Linked DNA regions of Lytechinus pictus. The protein of the gene in region 1 interacts with the protein of each later gene in a pairwise test. Links are inferred from orthologs where the notes say so. Each region holds a gene or a part of one and is shown on either strand. Other genes may lie near its edges.

The links.
Region 2: the proteins of E3 ubiquitin-protein ligase Su(dx)-like (region 1) and ubiquitin-conjugating enzyme E2 L3-like interact in binary tests that used the Caenorhabditis elegans proteins (3 or more experiments, as listed by UniProt). The link is inferred for Lytechinus pictus from reciprocal best matches to the Caenorhabditis elegans genes wwp-1 and ubc-18.

What each region holds. Positions count from the first base shown.
Region 1 is NC_087246.1:43,900,169-43,910,645, forward strand, and holds the start of E3 ubiquitin-protein ligase Su(dx)-like, read right to left. Parts: upstream 5,251-10,477; 5' UTR 5,118-5,250; intron 1-5,117. UniProt on the Caenorhabditis elegans protein: E3 ubiquitin-protein ligase which accepts ubiquitin from an E2 ubiquitin-conjugating enzyme in the form of a thioester and then directly transfers the ubiquitin to targeted substrates. Ubiquitinates klf-1.
Region 2 is NC_087246.1:912,935-924,116, forward strand, and holds the start of ubiquitin-conjugating enzyme E2 L3-like, read left to right. Parts: upstream 1-6,166; 5' UTR 6,167-6,294; coding exon 6,295-6,321; intron 6,322-10,534; coding exon 10,535-10,630; intron 10,631-11,182. UniProt on the Caenorhabditis elegans protein: Ubiquitin-conjugating enzyme E2. Accepts ubiquitin from the E1 complex and catalyzes its covalent attachment to other proteins. Required for diet restriction-mediated lifespan extension, probably acting as part of a complex with ubiquitin-protein ligase wwp-1.

The DNA.
Region 1 (10,477 bases):
TTTATTTATCCTCCTCTATGTATATGATCTACTGTAGATACTTAACGGCTGGCTTAACCCAATCAGGGTTCCCAGCTTTTCAAGAAAACAAAAATCCCTGATTTTTCTCTCAGAAGTTTGAAAATTCCCTGATAATTATTTAAACCCATTCCCAGTTTCTCATGCCTCTAAATTGTTGCTGTGAATTACATGTATTTTTTTTATGTGTAGGCCTATTATTGTTTTTAATTGTATATACCAGTAGGCCTACTTGTACGGTAGAAAAAGAGGCTACACTTAAAAAACACCATAACATGTCGTTCAATGAATGTTGTTTTAATATACAACAAAATATAACAGTCTGACTGACTATCGTGCATTCGACTTTTGGGCAGATCAAAATTCCCTGGTTTTACAATGACTGGAAAAATGTAAACAAATCCCCGATTTCCTTGATGGGCTGGGAACCATGCCAATCCATTTTAAGTTCAAGTATCGTCCGTGCATGCAGTGATGTAATGATTATGAGTATGATATGATTTTCATCATCTATATAATCGATATGTATGCTTAATTATAAGAATTACAGTTGATTAGAATAATTCATTTGATGAGCGTCTATCTCGTCATCGATAGTCTTTCACGGTGCAGGTTTTGCGCCCACCAGCCCTACCCCGGCTCTACCCTTCCGGATCCTGGCGACATGTATTAACTGATGCATGGTATTTATCCACTGCGTATATTTGTTAATTCTAGATCAAATGCATAATAATGAATGATGTTATGTTAGAATAAATGGACATTAGACCAAGTGTGAATAAGACCAAGTGACGATTAGCCCAACTGGGTATTAGACCAAGTGGCGATTAGACCAAGTGATAATTAGACCAATTGGATATTACACCAAATGGAAATTAGACTAAATGGAAATTAGACCAAGTGGATATTAGACCAAACGGTCATTAGACCATGTGACAATTAGACGAAATGAAAATTAGACCAAGTGGAAATTAGACCAAGTGGTGTTAGACCAACTGGAAATTAGACTAAATGGGTTTAGCCCAACTGCTCATTAGACGAATTGGATATTAGACCAAGTGGGAATTAGACGAATTGGATATTAGACCAAGTGAAAATTAGCCCAACTGGTTATTAGCCCAAATGGAAATTACACGAATTGGATATTAGACCAAGTGGGAATAAGACGAATTGGATATTAGACGAACTGGTTGTAGACGAAATGAGTTTAGACTATGTGAAGTTGGACGAACTGATAAGTAGACCAAGTGGTATTAGACCATCCGATAATTCACCATTCATAGACGCAGTGTGATGTAACATTAAGAAAAAAGAGTAAATACATGTAGCATCAGATGAGGGATTTTTTTCTACAAACAAGTTTTCAGCAATCAAAATTGCACAAAAGGTGTACTGGCTATCTGTTATAATCTGAAGATTCAGACACATCAAAGTCATCACTGTCAGTCTATACTGTCAAAATGAGGTCATAATTAACAATAGATTGATTTATCTCTGAAGTCTTTAATTAGTTTGTGCTTTTCCTTTTGGAATTTTTGCAGCTTCTAAATTTTATTGAAGGTGTAACCTACAACTATATTTTATCTCTCCTCATTTTCTATACATCAGACAGCCACAATGTCAATCGTGTTAATTTCATGATTTACATCAATTAATTATACTAATTAGCTTAATAGGTATCCTTTAAACTTAAAAGTTCAAATTTGACCCACTTATGATCAAAGAATAAGCCAGTGAACCCCAAAACTATTACATATTTAGGTAATGTGATGTTACATATTTAGTTTCTTAATGAAATAAAAATCCATGCTCCCCTCGTCTACCACCATGCAAAAATGGACAATTGATGTTACATAATTGCTAATTACTGGTAAATGAAGTAATCTCATGTATTTCTTTTTCTTTCAAGTAATTGGTATAAAGATTCCCTTTGATGTGATACCAAATATACCCATGTAGCACATCTATTTCAAGTTTTATACCATTAATCATTTCTGTGCTTGTCGTGCACATGTAACATAAAACGCATGGCCATATGCGATAGCTATTTAGTGCATAAAGATAAACCTTATATAAGGGATAGGTAGTTTTTATGCCTTGGTATTTTATCATCTGTAAATGGCGTTGAGTCTGGAGTTGACGTTGATGTCATGACAGTATTATGACGATAGTAATGATGTCCGTCGAGTGAAAGGGTTACTCAGGCGTAGAGGTGTATCTGTGATGTAATGCCTAGTTAAGTTGAATCAGTCAGGGCGAACCTCACAGGACGACATTTTAAACGGTCAACATTAACTTCAGTATCCCCTACAAGTTCTAAAAACTGTTTTGCTATATTCTGATGCATAAAATGATTCTTTATGGCTGATTGATCAGGAGGTATAATTGCATTACTGAATATATTGAATATTTGATCCTTGTTGAAATTGATGACTGATTTTCTATGTTCTGTATTGAATGTTTATATCCATATTTTATGTTTTGAATTTGAATTCGAACTGATGTTACCATTGTTCCAAGGAAAACTTGAAATTGAAGATTGGAATTCACTTTGATTCCCTTAAAAATCTGCTGTCAATTGTTACTTTTTCTGAGTTCCATATTTAAGAAGTTGCCACTGGACCAACAAGCTATCACACCCTCCCCTTGGCTGTGAACAGGTTCACCTTTTTATGGTGAAATGGTTGACAAGAGACATCCATACATCCAAAAAAACATCCATGCAAGCGAATACTAAGCATGCCTTTCAGCATGCTGGGTGCCCCACAAAAATAGACAAATTTGTTGAAAAGTTTATTGCAATCCCCATTCTCAGGATGTTTATTCATAAAGAAAACCCTAACCAGCTGGAGCAAGGCTTATTAATGGAAACCTTAAATACATGTACACCATTGTACATGTATTTAAGAGTCTGCCTGATTTTATTAATGATAATGGTAAAACTATATATGGGAATAAGGATATTGGAAACACTTTTAATAATTTTTTTGTTAAAATTGGTCTCTGCCTAAATGGTAATTGCTCAAGTAGTAAAGATTTTGCCAAATTCTTACCCAATAAGTGTTTGCAATCATTGTTTTTTAAACCAGTGAATCAAAATGAAGTAGTTGATATTGTTAAAAATATAAAATGTAGCAGTAGTTGTGGTATCGATGATTTAAATCCAGTTGTAATCAAGAAAGTGATTGTATTCATTCTGCATCCTTTATGTCATATTTTTAATTTATCACTATCTTCTGCCATAGTTCCTTCTAAAATGAAAATCTCAAAAGTTATTCCAGTACATAAAAAAGGTGATCTACATGATGTCTCTAATTATCGTCCCATTTCACTACTACCATATTTTTCAAAGATTTTAGAAAGAATTGTTTATAATCGATTATATAATTTTCTTAACTGCAACTCTCTTTTAAATGATGTGCAATATGGATTTTTAAAAAATGTTTCCACTGAAATGGCCCTAATTAACTTACATGATTATGTTATCAACTCACTAAATAAAAAATTACACACTATCGGAATATTTTTAGACCTTAGCAAGGCTTTTGACTGCATTGATTATAATATACTTTTACACAAATTACAGTTTTATGGAATTAGGGGTCATGTATTAAGTTGGTTTCAGAATTATTTATTAAATCGTGTGCAATACGTATCATATAAAAATGTTTTATCTGAACCATTAAATGTTTTATGTGGTGTGCCCCAAGGATCAATCCTCGGACCGCTATTATTTTTAATATTTATTAATGATTTACCAAAATGTTCAGACAAATTGAAATTTTTGTTATTTGCGGATGATACCAATATTTTAGTTTCTGATACTACACTACAATCTTTGAATAATGTTTTGAATCAAGAATTACCTCATGTAACCGCATGGTTTTACTATAACAAACTCTCTTTGAATATGGATAAATCGAACTATATATTATATCATGGACATAATAGAGTAAAAGATATTGAAGTATTAGATATTAAAATGAATAATCAAGTTATCAAACGTGTAAGTAACTCAAAGTTTTTAGGCGTTTTAATTGACGAAAGACTTTCATGGAATAATCACATAATGGATGTGACAAATAAAATATCTAAGAATATCGGTATCATCCGCAAACTTAGTGATTTCTTGCCTCAACACATTCTTTTAACTTTGTATAATACCTTAATCTTGCCTTACTTGTCTTACTGTAATGTAGTGTGGGCAAATACATATCCTTCAAAACTAGAAAGATTGTTTATTTTACAAAAAAGAGTAATCCGAATATGTTCATTTTCTCACAGATTGGCCCACACTAAAGAACTTTTCGTGAAATTTAATGTTCTAAATATCTATCAACTCAATTCCTACTTTTGTGCAATATTAATTTTTAAACATAAACATAATATACTCCATAATTCAATATCGTCTATGCTTGATTTAAATGTTAATATTCATGATTATAATACAAGAAACAAAAATAATATCACTTATGGACTGTAAATAAAAATTATGTATTATTCTCATTTAGACACCATGCTCCAGCTGTTTGGAACAATCTTCCAATAGAAATAAGATCAATCAGTTCAACGAACGCTTTTAGCAGGAAATTGAAACTATATTTAATCAATAGTGTGTGAAAGCAAGGATTTTTACTGCCTTTGTGTGTTTATGTATTGGGTTTGTGCGGTTAAAGGTGTTTTAACTTATGTTTATAGTATTACATGTACATGTATTATCAAATGATTTCAGTTATTGAATTAAATTTTAAATGAGCATTTTATCAAATTTGTAATTTCAATTTGGCTTATTTTATTTTTTTATGTAAGGGTGGTTATCTCGACAAACCTTGATAGGTTTTTATGACCACCTAATTCCAATATTGTATCTCTTTATTGTCATTTGTATCTGTTTAATACTTGATTTACATGTACCTTATATTTTCTTGCCTTATTATTGCACATTGCACATTGTATTTGTTATTACTGTATTCTATACTCTGTATTGATTTTATTGGAATTGAATAAAACATTGAATTGAATTGAATTGAATTGAATTCAGTACGATAGGAAATAGGTAATTTATCCCCCTCCCCCAGTTAGATTGGTTTGTGTCTCACCATTTTGGGTGACTGCTCCTAGTGCAGTCAGGGTTTCCTGGGATATACTGAGGCCATCCAGGACAAGATGGAGTTCCCCACTCTTCTGTGTAGCCTTGCCCTCTGACCTCAGCTCGACTGGTAACTGTACATTCTTGACTGCACGGTGAGAGAAAATTAGAGAGAAAGAAAGACAGAGGGGCAGGAAGAAAGAAAGCCAAATGAGAAGAAAAAAATCATAAGATGAGATGAGGTGTGTGTTCAGAGAAAAAATAATGACATCGTAATTATGAGAGTGAAAAAAGAATAAAAAAATACAAATATAATATGATTGCAATAGTCAGTGAATTAAGCTATTAATTCAGCTATCAATTAATATTATCAAAGTCCACACTAAAAAGAAAATAAATGAATCAGTAAATTGCCATTCATCTATTGCCAACTCGTCCACTCACCACTTTGTCTAATCACCAGTTCGTCTATGGCCATTTGGTCTCATAACCAGTTGGTCTAATATTCATTTCATTTTCATTCATTTTGCACAATTCACACTTAGTCCAATTAGACCATATGGACTAAATGTCTATTGGACCAACTGGTTATTAGATGAAATGGTTAGTGGACGAATTGGCAATTATACCATGTGGATAGTGGACAGAATTGGCATTGGACGAATTGGCATTAGACGACCAATGAATTGCTTCAAAATGATTATATTTCACATCAAATGACATAAAAAAACAAGTAACCAAGACAAGTCATATGCAAACTGAGCTGTTATTTTCGCGTCCAAAACTTTTTGCGACTGCGGTCACAACATTTTCACGGGTTGTTGAATTCGCGATATGAAGATATACCAAACACTTTCACAACAAAAATAATGCAAAACATGTGCATAAATATGCTTCTCAAATCCTCATGCCGACGTGTTGTGTAATAACAATAATAATAATATGCAACATTTATATAGCGCTAAATACAATAAGCGCCGCATACTTTGTAAAAAATTTGTCCATGTAGAACAGTTAAAAGTGAGAAAATACTGGCTGAAATTTCACTCTTTTGTACCTTTAACTCTAAAAATTCATGTCACCATTTGATCTGTAAGAGCAATCTAATAATGGCACGATTTCTTGGTTCCCACATTGGCACGATTTTATCATGCCAGTTCATGACAATGCAGGCCACGAAGGTTGTCAATAGTTCGTGCCATGGTCCCTTCTGGTTCACAAAATATTCACAAATCGTTCACATATTGTCACATCATTCAATTCATCATTATTCATTGGAGCATAAAATTGAACTCCATGAATTGTGGCTCCTTAAAGCCAAAATGTGCATGTGTATGCTTTTTAAGCGAGCATTTCTGAGATTTGGAGGAAGTATGCGTCACCTATTGTCGTGAAATAGTCATGAAATCATGCAATCCATGCTACAGCACGACTTGGCCCAACGAGGTTGTGTAAAGTTTACGAATAGTTCACGCCAACATTCCCGAAATTCGTTGTGACGGGAATTGAGAAATTCTAATATTTTGGAACAACGCTTCAAGCATTGTTCCGCATTGGTCCACACACTTACCGATATGGAACGACCAGAATGCTCAGTAGTGAGCATATTATTTACTAACAAGCTATACTTACCTATACCATCTCATCAAATTGCTAATCGTTACCCTGACTCGAATAGCCACCGGTAAAAAACTCCCCGAAAGAGGCTAACTGCAATCAGGTAGCCCGGGAAACCCGTCACGGAACGAGACCCATAAAACCCGCTCACCACATATAAGCCTCCTCTTTCGTAGCCAAGGAGGGGCGAAGTCTGCTGGGGAGGACGGGTGGGGAGTTATAGGTAAGTATAGCTTGTTAGTAAACAAATATATCAGGCTTTGAGAAAGTATAGTGGAATTATTTATCCAAGGTTGGTCTGGCAAGTACTATGGCGAAGCCCCGAGGGAAATATAGTAGTTTTGCCAGTCCAACCGAGGATTAATAATTCCCACTATGCTTTCGAATGAAACGCCTGATATATTTGTTTTATATCCTACTTTTAATAATTTATTAAAAGTCCGGTTACTTGAGTTGAATTACCTACTTTTCTCCGAGCCATATCGCGCTCAGCGGAACGCAGATTAGAGCCTGCGCCGACGCATCGCTGGACTTGCCCGGGAGAGAGAGCGCGCTGGCCGGTACGCCCGAGAGTTTAGCTCATAGGTTTAGCTAGATATCCAGTTTTGTGAAATAATGACGTCAGACCTCGATATATCCAAAAATATATCGAGGTCTGACGTCACGCAACATCATAGTTGAAATATATTCGGTCACATGATGCTACTTGAACCAATCACTATACAGGATTTACTCAATGTATGATATAATAAATAATATGCTCACTACTGAGCATTCTGATTTACTACACTGCGCTATACTTACCTATACCATCTCATCAAATTGCTAGAATAGCACAGAAAAAAAAACTGGAGGAGGGGCAGCAATGAGACCCTTCCCAGACATGTTAGCATAACAACGATACAAAAAACTGATTGACTATAAAAAAGAGTAGTCTCCCAACTGGAGAAGCTACTCTAGGAATAAAGGGATATAAATATCATCAACCTCGTTAAAGAAATATATCAACTGGAAATAGTCTAGGAACGATTAGGACAAGACAGAACCGCGGAGGCAAAACCTGTGTCTCGGCTAATTACATCAGATAAGTAATAAGATACAAAGGTATTGGAATTGGTCCAATAGGGCTGCCTGGAGGATCTCCTCCATAGAGGTACCCTGAAAGAGCACCCAAGATGCTGCTATGCCCCGTGTAATATGGCGCCCTCTCCACCCGACCTGATCCCCTGCACTAACCATCGAGAAATTGTAATTGGACTAACAGGGCCGTGAGGTTCTATTGAACTAATGAACAGTTGATGGGAAGTGCGAATACACTTAGTCCTATCAATGAACCACTTTAAGGCACGTACGGGACACCATAACCTATCTTTGGAAACTGACGAGAGATTGCTAATGGCTGAAAGAACAATTTCACAGGGTTTAGAGGTTTCTTTTTTATTCTTAGCTCTGTCCTTCTCCCAACGGATATGACCCGGCCTTACCGTGAGTGCATGAAGCAAACTACGTCTTTGACCTGAAGCTATAGCCATTAAGAAGGCTGTCTTAATGGACAGATCAAGGAGGGAGCATTTATGCATGGGTTCAAAGGGGGATTAGGCTAGGGCCCGAAGGACCCGTGGAAGGTCCCATTTGGGGAAGAGTCTTCGGCTAGGATTCTGTAAGAAAAAGGATCTTGTTATTCTGGCAAGGACAACTGAATTTGAGATAGTCTCCCCATTAGAGAAGCCCGAATGAATGGCTGCTATGGCTGATCTGTAACCCCTTATGGAGGAGACTGATAAACCTTCGTCAAATAATAGAAGTAAGAAATCTGCTATCTTACCTAAAGAGGCAGAGGTAGGATCAATCTGTAAACTGCCACACCACCGGAAGTATCTCTGGAGTCTAGAATCATAAGTGTTCCTGGTGGAGGATCGCAGGAATTTAGACGCCATGTCTGCAGCTCTCTCCGAAAGGCCCGCTTTAGTTGCTGATTTCCTGAGATGGGCCAGAGTGTTAGGCAAAGCCTTTCCGGGTTTGGGTAATAAGTGTCCGTCCCAGGTTGTTTCAAGAGGTCCACCAGTGGGGGTAGCCATTTTGGAGTCCCCACCACGAGATCTGTAAGTGTTGTGAACCATGGTCTCCTCGGCCACCAAGGTGCGATGAGGAGAACGTAAGCTTTTTCCTTCCTCACTTTCTCCAGCACTTGAGGTATTATGGGAAAGGGCGGAAAGGGGTAACCCAGGATCCCCTTCCATGGGATTGTTAGGGAGTCTGTCGCAAAGGCTGAGGGATCTTGATGCTTCGTGCAATAAATCGGGAGCTGCTTGCTCAGGGCTGATGCAAATAATTTATCTGAGGCTGGTCACCCTGACTGAAGATTCTCTCCACGATGGAGTGATTGAGTTGCCATTCTGACGGGAGATAACTTCCCCGAGAGAGGAAATCTGCTTTGTAGTTCTCTTTCCCTGGGATGTGGCAAGCCTTTAGGGTTATGCGATTATTCTGGCACCATGCTAGAATTTCCAATGTCAGGAAGCAGCGAGTAGGTGACCTTGTCCCTCCTTCCCTGTTTATGTAGGAGACCACTGTGCTGTTGTCTGATTTCACCAGAATGCACTGGTTGGCAACTTGGGGGAGGAAGGCAAGTAGAGCCAGTTGAACCGCCTTCATTTCTAGAGCATTGATATGCTGTGCTGAATCTCTTTCTTGACATTGGCCAGAGGCTTTGAATTTCCCCATGTGTGCTCCCCAACCCAGCTTTGAAGCATCGGTCGTTAGGGTGAGAGTTGGTTTCGTGTTCTTAGTTTGCTACCCTTGGTTCAGAAATCGACATGCTGACCACAGATGAATTGCATGCATCATCGCATCTGTCATGGGAACAAGATGGTCCCTGGGGTGAATTCTGGGCCTGAAGTGTCTCAGGAAGTGCAGTTGGAGTGGCCTCATATGTCATCTGCGCTGCGGGATTAGATCTACTAGGCTTGCTAATAGGCCTAGGAAAATTTGCCAAGTTCTGGCTGGCGAGTATGAGTTTGAGTAGAGCTCTGCACCTACTGACTGAATCCTCTTTATTCTGTGAGGGGAAGGGCGAACTATTAAGTTTGGGATGGATATTATCGCCCCTAGAAACTCTGGTGATATTGTTCGTGAGAACCTCGCTTTTTCTTCGTTGATCAGAAACCCTAGATCCGAAGCCAGCTTTCGGACAATGCTTACGTTGTAGACAAGAGTGGTCTTGGAAGGGCCGAGGAGGAGCCAGTCGTCCAGGTAACAGAAGATAGTAATGCCTCGCCTTCTTAACTCTGCGGCGAGGACTCTCACCAGTCGGGAAAATATCCTTGGGGCAGGCTTTAGGCCGAGCGGAAGGGCTATGAACTGGTAGCAAACGTCTCCTACTTTGAAGCCCAGAAACTTGCAGGCCTCTGGGGCTATAGGAACATGATAGTAAGCGTCTCTGAGGTCTATGGTGACTGCCCATTGGTTGGGTTTTATCAGAGGTAGGATGGTTGTAAGGGATTCCATTCTAAATGTCTGATCTGGAAGGAGTTTGTTTACCTTCTTTAGGTTGATTATCATGCGGAAACCCCCGGAGCGTTTCTTTACCAGGAAAACGAATGAGAGGATGAGGGACTTGTGGTCTGGCACTGTTACGATAGCTGCTTTCTGGAGTAGGGACTGTATTTCTGACCGGAGAGCCTCTCGGCGTGAAGGATCCCTTGGTATGGGGCTCTGTTGTCGAAAACGAGAAGGATGAATTACTCTTGGGAA
Region 2 (11,182 bases), about 43 Mb from region 1:
GGAGCCGACACGCTTGTCAGATGGGTCATTGATAATTCCCTGAACACCGCAGATGTGATCTGATTTGGTGACATGACAGTTGAATCGGTAGTGACTGGATTTTAATTGTGTGCCCTGGTTTTGAACTGTTGAAGTAACCAAACTAGAAACATCTTCTGAGAACTCTAGACTGCAATTCTGATGATGAAACTTTGTCTACACTTGTGAAAAATGTGAAGGAGTTGGCTCTGCCTCATGGCCTTTCAGGTTCAGGGCTCTCATCTAACTTTTTCTTTAGTTTCTAGCTGGGTAACTGATACCAATATTAATTTTCTTGTGATTTTGACTTCAACATAAGTTTAGTTTTAATTTTGATAGGACTTTCAAATCTGGTTTCAGTTTTAGAGCAGTGTATTATATAAAGAAACCATGTTGCTTGAACTAGTCTGTGCTCTTACAGTGATATGATTATGAACTCCTTCAAATATGTTTTATATATACAGTCAAATATAAAGTTCAGAATAGTCATTTATCTGCTATACTTACCACATGTTTAAATTGCTTATAAATACACATCGTCCGCATATGGATGCAAAAGAATTACCCTTCTTTATTCATTTTGTTGGTATGTTTTCATTTTACTTGGTGCCATCTAAAAAAAAATACTGCATATTCCTACATTTTTGTAAAACAGAATGTTACTAGCTTTATTGTGCTTAAAAGTATTGCATTGATACTTCATACTTACTTATAATAACATAACCATACAATTTAGACTGACATGCATTGTTTGATTGTTACAGGATATATTACTAGTAAGGGTGAAAATCATATTAGGTTTTCATGAATTCATCTTCAAAAGCCAGATGTGTTAATACAGACCCCCCCCCCCCTTCCATGAGTTTTTTTTTTGTCTATTAGGGGTGTGAGAATTCTTAAGCTGATTTCAGCTATTTTAACTTTTTATTTTCAGCTTGATATCCCTTTTTGTGTACAGTAGTTTGAGAGCTCATTCAGTCTCATCCCCTGACACTCTTCACACCTGGTTGATGCAGTTTTACAGTTGATGAGTCATCATTTTATTCTAGAGTACCCAACTGTTTATTTTCTAATGAATGATATTCAGGAAAGAATTAATACATGATTATTTTTAGCAGAAATTTTACATTAGCTTGAGGTTAAAGATACACTGCAGCACATGTTTTTTCTGTATATTTGTAGTAAGAATTTCACATATTTGTACATGATCCCACTAATTCAAAGATGTTACTTGCTAAAATCATGACAATTTAATGTAAAGTTTTCAAAGTTGGAACTAAGGTGTATTTAATGGATCTTTCTGTTTTTGGACTCTGGCAATAATTTGCTATTAAAAAACAAGTGTTTGATTGGAAATTGTATTGATGAGTGTATTTAGCCAATAACTTGAGAAAGATGGAAAAATACAAATCTACTAAGTCATTCGTATTTTTATTACTGCATTTTTTTGGTTGCTTTTGCCGCTGTCGTTCGGGATTTTGATTATGAATTTGTTAATAAATGATCCTGTTTGATACGAAGTTAAATAATTGATTTAAAATTATATTTCCTTGTTTGAGTTTCATTAGTCGATAATTTTTTATTCAAAGGTTTACATGTTTCCTTTGGTAAAGATTAGCTTTTAGCACTAATAGACTTTTTAGTACTTGACAATGTGTAAAAAGATGAAATAACTCTCAAGGCAACTGTGATCGACTGATTTAATTATGACATTATTTTAAAAAAAGTGTAGTGAATGTAATAAATAATGGTGATTATGTTACTTCTATTTTGATGGAAAAGAAATATACCATTTTACTTGTATATATGTATGTCAATACAAATAGACATAGAGAATACAACTTTCCTGCACCACTAGCATTGATTATATTCCAGTATTCTTGTGATGGAAGATTTATTCATTTGACATTGGAATATTTTGAGAGTAGAGTAACTTATTGAATTTGGTACTTGTTAGCAATTCTGTATTTCAAAATGTGGCATTCACAGACTAGGATTGCTGATTGTGTTAAGCAGGGCATGATATACAAATAAATATATTGTTGCATATGTTCAAGTTCTATTTAATGTATAAAATGATAAAATTCTGTCAATGTGTACCTGACAATTCACTTCTTATACATTTAGCAGTGCAATATTAGTTTCATTATAATAATTATGAATGTCGATGTGTTTGTCACTAGGTCCGATTATGGTCCGATATATTATTGAATTAAAGATATATTTCCATTGTTAACATTGTATGGAATTGGTAAAGCATAACCATTATCATAATGATTGATATGAAAAAATGTCATATTTTACTTGTCTATTTGTCACTTGCTGCTATGGTTTCATATGTTATAAAATTAAAAGAGTTCTTCTAAATTTATTTACATTGCTAACTTTGTGGAATTTGTTTTATATAGTTAGTATTTTCAATGATTTATGACAAGTCATATCTCTTATTTTGCATAAAAAGGGTATTTTTATATGATTTCCAGGGGAGAATGCATGACCATTTTGATAAAGGAAAACTTGAGTAGAGAAAGAGAAGGGGGCAAGAGTGGTTCTACTCGAAATTTGCTCGCTTTGTTTTGACAAATTCTTATTTTTTTTGGGGGGGGGGGGGTGGTTGGGGGTGGCAATCAGTCATAATTTACCAATTCTTGTTGCCATTTTAAAAAGTTAGTTCCACATTCAGTTTTGTACCATTTTCGAGGTAATTAAGTCTCAAAGAATAATTTTGAATAGCTAACGAGTCGGCCTTAACAGAGAATACCTTTAAGATTATAAACAACATTTAAGAGAAACTTAATTGGGATTTCATATTTTTAGGAGGGTGGAGAGGTTTAATTTGTAATGTTGCATTTTCTACTCCAACGGAGTCTTTGCTTAAAGGAGAATGAAACTCTTGGAGCAAGTTAGCTTTTGTGAAAGCAGAAAAATCAAAGAATAAGATCAACAAAACTTTGAGAAAAATAGGACTAGCAATAAAAGAGTTATGAGCATTTGAATGTCGAGATCACTAATGCTATGGAGATCCTCCTATTGGCAATGCGACCAAGATCTGTGATGTCACACACGTACAACTCTCCCATTTGGACACTGAAAATATACCCCAAAACATCTCTTTTTGCTCATTCTAATCATATGACAAACGATTCATCAATGATATAATGTTGTGAAACCTCTGTACTTGTCATCTCATAAAGAGAAGACCTCACCTTGTGATAGACTCTATAAAAGTGAGAATATAAGTGAAATAAGTACTAATTAAAGTAATGAGGGAGTTGTACGTGTGTGATATCACAGATCTTGGTCGCATTGCCGTTGGGAGGATCTACATGGCACTAGTGATCTCAATATTCGAATGCTCATAACTTTCTTATTATTCATTCAATCTTCCTCAAACTTTCAACAATATGTTTCTTTGATTTTTCTCTTTGATATGGATTCAGCTGGTTTCAAGGGTTTCATTCTCCTTTAATAGTCCTTTCTCAAACATAGAATTACGAAGACGAAATGTGTTGTATCTATTGTAGTGATTTTATTCATATCCTGTTAGGAAGTTTCCGTATATCAGAGTTCATCCCTCAAAAATGAAGATAATATCATGAATATTAAAATGAAATAGGCTTAAGTATAACACGTGTGTCTATTGGTCTTCCTGTTATAACTTGAAAAATGTAATCAAAGTATTCAAAGTGATTTTTTTTTAATTAAAAGAAGTAAATGTAGGCCTAATTAATCTGACATTTGGAATTGATTTTTCTTACAATAGCAAATAAAGAGATTATGTATATTTAGACCTCATTTATCGCATTGCATCGACAAGGCTATACGTGGGACTACGACAGAGCCTCTTCCCGTCACTTCGTAAAAACAAAATTGAAGCGCGTCCTTGAATTTCGGATTTTCACGAAGTGACGGTTATGCGAGCGGAGCACTATCCGTCACTTCGTAAAAATAAATCTAAGTGCGTATCGTAATATATTTTTTTCACGAAAATATGGTTCTGCTTAGAGCTCATTATCTTCTTAAATATTAAAGGAAAATGCAAATAATTGGACTTGAATATTGTCCAGAATATGCCCAATACGAGGATATGACATTTATCCACCCTGCATGCGTGGAAGACGTTGAGATTGAAGTCTAAACATTTGAACGCGATTTACTCAAAACTAACTTTTTAAAAGTTGCGCGCTCATCCGTCACTTCGTGAAATTAGGGACGAAGTTAGTTACACAAAAAAGACAAAATAACCATAATAATAAAAAAAAAACCTACCCACTTATCCTCCCCCACCCCCCAAAAAAGGAATGTGGCAAAGTGATAACTTAATATCAGTGTTATCTAAACAAAGATAGGTGATTTGGTAAATAAAGTAGACAAAACAAAATATACAAGCTATGATTATAAAATGGTTTCTCAACAACTATTGATAGGATTAAAAAACACAACTGGTTATCCAAGACGACATAAGGTTTTTAAACGAACAAGTATATCAAGGAAACTGAGATACAAGTTGCATGAAAAAATGGGAACTGGGGAGTGTTTCATCAACATTTTCATCCGACAAGTTGTCAGATCTGACATCTTTCTCTGATGTTGATTGGCTGAGAGGTACTGTTACTATGGTAACTGTCGGATAAAATGGGACTTGTCGGATAAAACGTCCGACAAGTCCTTTCATGAAACGCTCCCCTGATGTCTACAACCATATAACCAAAACAGTGCAGTATTATTTTTAAAAATGGGGCACTAAGCCTGTTATACAAAATATACATTATTAGTTATCATGTAACCTGTTGACATTTTTGAAAACCAAATTATAAGGTGAATCGCCACTTCTTAAAGTGAGCGGGCAACTTATTATTTTTCTTAGCTATCAAATATTCCAAGTCCTGTTGTCTTTAACAAATGTTTTAAAAAGAGCATAACTTGGAGGATTATTCTTAAATTTACATATATGAATATAATACTTCAAAAGTAAGAAAAGGTATGAAATGAACTTATCAGCTGGGAGTCCAAACATTTTTTCAAAATTAGAACCATTTATTTGAACATTATTTTGGGAAATTTTTGTTAAAAGGGATTGCCAAATAGGAATTACCCTTTCACATTCGCAAAACAGGTGGACTATTGTTTCCTCACTTTTATCACAGAGAACACAATTGGGTGAGTCCTTAGATTTAATCTTATATACAAAATCATTTAATGTTATGGCTTTATGAAAAATCTTAAAATAGAATGATCTTAATTTAGTGTCAATGGTTACTATACTCACACTTTAAGAGAGCATTAATGTATTCTTCATTCAGGTGATATTTTGCGAGGGAGTGTTTAGCGACCGAGCGAGAAAATGTTAGAATTTGAATATGAGCACATGACGACATGAATGGAATACTGTATTAATCTATTATATTTTTCTTTCCTTTTCCCCATTTTTTTAAGTTCCCGGCGAAACCCATTAGGGGGAGGGGGCAGATTGCCCCCTGTGACTTTTAATAACCAGTTATTAAGTCACATTTTTTCCAATCGTAAAACTGAAAAATATTGAATTTCCCAAAAACGTGGACACCGCCTTTAGTCGTAAATTCTAACGGAATCAGACAATGATTATAATTCTCTTCTTTTTTTTTTGTTTGGGGGGGGGGGGTTGTTTTGACATGCATGGGTACTCTGTGACCCCTCCCGGCTCCCCTTCCCCAGCCCCCACCCCCTTTCTGAAAAAATAGCTTATATACTGTAGCTCTTATTAAAAGCGGGGTAAAAATGGATGAAAATCATTTTTCCTCCGAGTCGTTGCGCCGCCCCTCGATCGCTCAATTTACTATGCCTCCCACTACTGGCGGATCCAGGGGGGGGGGGGGCGGCCCGTGCCCCCCTTTTGAGAGGCACAATTAAAATTTGTAATGTAAAAATGCCGTTAAAACAAAAGTGTGTCCCCCCTTTGAAAATGAAGACCCCCTTTTTTTTTGCTTGTCAATCAAAATTTTCCCTCTGCAAAATGTGCCCCCTCCCTTTGGAAAATCCGCCCCTGCCTCCCACCCCCTCCAAACAATTAAATTACCCTGTTCCTATCTTGCTCCCCCCCAAAAAAAAACTTGCAAGAGAGATACCGGTACTGTTATGTGTTGCTGCTGACTGGCTGGCTGGCAACCACCGGTCACCTCGACCACCGAATTTGCCGCTGAACTGTCGTCGCGTAGCGCTCGTGCTATCATCGCAGCTAGCTCTAGTATAGTACGTCGACGTCGAGGGCGCGCATTGATTTCTCAACATACAGCAATCATGGCGGCCACAAAGAGATTAGGGAAGGTAAGAGGTCAAGTTTTTCCTACCGCTTTTCATCTCAATAAGAATTGAGTGCATGAATTTTTATTTCTAATTTGCTCAGTAATTTTAAGAGCTACTTATGTGTCTGTGATTTCGTTGAGACCCATTGCAAATGTTTTGACGACCACTTCCACTTGGCTCGGTCTTCACGTCACACGGGCATGTCGGGAGCTACATAGACTCAGTACATGAAACATTAAACAAAACTCATTCACGTACGGTACCGGGTGAGTGTTTCATAAAGCTGTTCGTAAGTTAAGAGCGACAGTTCAAGAACGACTGGCGGTCCTTTCTTGTGGTTTATGTGATATTGGCGACGGTTTAGCACGTAAGAAAGGATCACCAGTCGTTTTTAAAGTCGCTCTTAGTCTTACTCTTAGTCTTAGTTGGACTTTTTCGAGTATTGGTACTCTGGCATTATCGTGGTTTATGTCACCAGTCCATTCACTGCCGTTTATTTAGTCGGCGGTGGTGACATCTTTCCACTCCCATTGACTTTGTACACAACGAGCGTGCACACACCGACACACACGAGAAGAGAGGTGACAAATTTTACGATAAGGCCGGTACTCTTAACTTATGAACGGCTTTATTAAAGCCTTTATGAAACGGCGGTACCGATGTTATGTGCCCAGATATATGGTAGTGTGAGTGTGACCTTAATTCGCGCGTTAGCCGTTACCTAATTTTGCACATGGTCGAATACTTCAATATTTAATTAATATTTTGAAAAACTGATATCACCAACAGAAAGAGCGACTTAATATTTAATTTTCTTAAAGGTAAGGTCTCAATTTGTTATTGGCAAAACATCGGCAAATTTTGTTAACTTTTGCATCCGCTCCGAGAAAATCCGACCCTCTCGACAAGCATCAAGAAATCGCCAGTTTGCAAGCCGAGGTCTCCAAATAAGTAAGTAAAATGTGATACCAACCGAATTTATGGCATTTTAACCTCCATCTGATATAATTATCTTACCTTTGCTTGATTTCTTTTCGAAAGCCTTGCAAAACGATCGTGCGCAAATTAAGGTCACACTTTTTTATGACACTTTTTCAGCCGAGCGTGCGCTAGTCGATCATCATGGAAATTTGAGATCGCGATGCCAACGAAACCCGTGACCTACTTTACAATTCCGTCAAGCAGCGAATTTGACTACGGGATCTTGCTTTCCGTTTGGTATTTATGATTTTTGATTAATTTTGTGTGAGCTGTGAGAAATTTTTTATTGAAAATCAACTTCATGACGATTTTTAAAATGCGCGCAAATTATGGTCACCCCATCATACAGTTGTGCTCAGAAGTATTCATACCCCTTGGAAAACCACATTTTTTTGCATTTTTGATAGAATTGGATTCGGTTACAAATCAGTCAAATACATTTAGGTTAGACAGCTGGCAGCCGTCTGTTTCGAGGAGTTTTTAAAACATTTTTAATTTTTTTTATTTCTCCTCGTACACAGACGGCTCGCTATCATACAGCCACCATTAGGGGGTTAACAATTCAAAAATTGACCAAAATAGAGATTGTTATTCCTTTTTGGCCTGAAACGCACCAAAACGGGAAAAAATAAACTTAAAAGGTGGAAAAAACAGTGATTTACTTCGGCTGTCGTGCAACTCCCACTTCCTGGTTGATCCAAACTTAATACATAAACATATGGCCATTGAGTCCCTGAATAGATCGAGTTAGAACTTGGGTCTCTGTAATTGGTGAGTGGAGCCAACGGAGTTCAGCGGAACAACCAACATAACAGAGTTATGTACAAAAGCATGCCATTTTTATTTTCACCTCATTTGCATATCAAAAGAATAGAACGTTCCTGGATTTTCTGATGTCCAAAAGTATTCATACCCCTGCCCTGAACCACAAGTTAATAAATTAAATAGCCTTTATCATCAATGACTGCCTCCAGACATCTCCTATAGTTTGTTACTAAGTTCTTGCATGTCTCTACAGGGATTTTGGTCCATTCCTCATTTGCAATCCTCTCCAAGTCCTTCAGTTTGCTATGCTTCCTTGCGTTGACCTTCACCTTGAGCTCTTTCCAAAGGTTTTCGATTTGGTGTAAATCAGGACTTTGGCTCGGCTACTCCAGTACGTTGACTGCATGCTCTTGAAACCATGTTTTGACCTTCTCCTTTGGATTGTTGTCCTGTTTGAAGATCCAATCAGGTCCAAGTTGAAGTGTTTCAGCAGACTGCCTGAAAAACAGCCCCAAAGCATTATGCTCCCTCCACCATGTTTTACTGTGGGCACTGTGTTCTTTGGGCTAAAGGCTTCCCCTTTCATCCTCCAGATGTAGGCGACATCTCTGTGTCCAAACAGCTGCATCTTCATTTCATCAGTCCAAAGAATAGACCTCCAAAAAGTTTTATCTTTTCCCAGATGTCTTCTGGCAAAGTCCAAACGTGATCTTGTGTGAATTGGTTTTAGGAGTGGAGTCTTCCATGGTCGTCATCCATTCAATCCTGCCTTATTCAAGGTCCTCTGGATGGTTTGCATGGAGATCTTGGTCCCTTGGCCATTGAGATCTTTTAGCATCTCCTTTTTGGTGATTCTGGGGTTGACAGCAGCAGCTCAAACTAAACATCTTGCTTGCCTTGCCAAGACTTTGCGCTTCCCTCCAGGTCTTTTAAGAATCTCCACTTTGTTGATAGTCTTGAACTCTCTGATGATGCTCTGGACAGTAGCCACATGAACCTTAAAACGCTTGGACATTGCCTTGTAGCCAAACCATCTTTGTGAGCATTCACTATTCGCAATCTCAGGTCGTCACTAAGTTCCTTTCGCTTGACCATGATGAAGTTTAAGCTTATTCTGATGAATTGACAAAGATCTTGCCACTGATTCTCAATTAATAGAACCAATGATATTTCTGGAATTAAAATACTGAGCTAAGAAGCTTTAACTAATTCAAGAATTCAAAAGAGTAAACATTATTGTTCATCAAAATACATAAAGCTCAAATTATTAGTAGAGTCTACTCATCTTAACTGTAAAAGCTAATTTTATGAGGCTGTTTCATCGTGTTCGCGAGCTTGAGATTGCCAACACCAACATCGAACTTGAAATCACAATTTTCCTAATTCCTGGGGGTTGTTGATGGTAAATGGGGAAATTGCACATAGATCGTCAACACCAGCCGCAGTGCTGGATTCAGCAAACGACATTCAACACCAGCCTTCAACACGAATTGCTGGAAATATGTCATTTTTCTGAGGTCATTTCCAACACAAGCATCACTTCAAGTACGGTGTTGTAACTGATGTTGGTGTTGTCTCAGCACCAGATGTCAAAATCGTACTTGAAATCACCGTATGATTGTGACAATCACACTGATAGACAATTGAAACAATGTATGGTTTAAATTCTCTGGTTCTGGTTGTTGGATCTGCCCATATACAAATTTTCTTGACCCTGAACTGTATTTGGAAAAAGATGAACATGATATTACAATATTGAAAAGACAATGAATTTTAAAGATTGCATGTATCTGTTCTGAAGCACATCCACAATCAATTGCTAATCAACAGTTCACAATGAATTTTGGGCCTACATTTAACTTACAAAGCCTTTTTTAGATATAGTGAGACAAAGTTCAGCAGCATGGACAGACAAATCACCCCACTTAGGCTACCTATTTCACATTCACAATGGGCGCGTCGTGGTCTAGTGGTTCTGACTCTTGTCTTTTAAACAAGAGGGGTGTAGATTCGAATCCTAGCCATGGTGAATTTTCCTTCAGCAAGAAATTTATCCACACTGTGCTGTACTGGACCCAGGTGAGGTGAATGGGAACCCGGCAGCATTAATTCTTTGAATGCACGAGCGCTGAAAGGCAGCTCGAGCTGAAGCCGGGGTAATAATAACAATGTGACTCACTCTGAATAGATTGTTTCTTGATAGATGGCGTTATACATGTACAAATGCCTCTTATTATTATTACATGCTTCAAGACAAGTCTCAAAGTTGTGCGGAAAGACTCATGACATGATTTCATTATAGTGTGTTTACAATTTCATGATATCGGCATTGCGACAAAGAGAGGCATACATTGCAGAGACGTATGTGTATCCCATTGATTTTGTGAACAAAATGTTGCTGAGCTTTCTCTCATTGTGTCCTGATGTGATTTAACTCTGTATATTTCTAATGATCTTTATTTGTTTTCATTCTCTTTGCTATTTATAGGAGCTGGAGGAGATCAAAAAAAGTAATGTAGCATGTCTTAAAGAAGTAATAGTAAATGACACAAACATTCTAAAATGGGAACTTACTATAGCACCGGTAAGTAGACAGTTTGGGGAAAATTCCGTGCATTTATTTACATTTCAGACTTGTAATAATTTCACCTTGTATTTTTATGTTTTTTTTTTTTTTTTGGGGGGGGGGGGGGAGTTGAAGCTTGGATACCCTTCATTGTCACTGTTTTCTTAGTTAAAAATTGACCTGCTATTTTTGAAGTGCTTTGTGTGAACCGGAAGAAAAAGGATCCTTCCTACCCAAAAATCACATCTTCACATCTATGAAATTGCCATCTATTTCATTGAGGGTATTTTGATTTAGTTGGGAATGAATGAGAAAATTAGGAATATTCCCATATTTTTTGACCCATCAATATAAGGGGCCCAAAAGCATATACCGGTAAACGGTAAGTTCAAAATCAGTGCCTTGCATTCTTATCACTGTCTTAAAATGTTTTTTTTTATGCCCATATGAATGTTAGAATAACAAACTTTTGTTGCTTTGCTTGCTTGTGACCCTTTCCCATGTGCATATTGATGTTAGTAATTTAACTACAACTGATATTTCCACATGTTGATCATTCAGAGTAGGGCC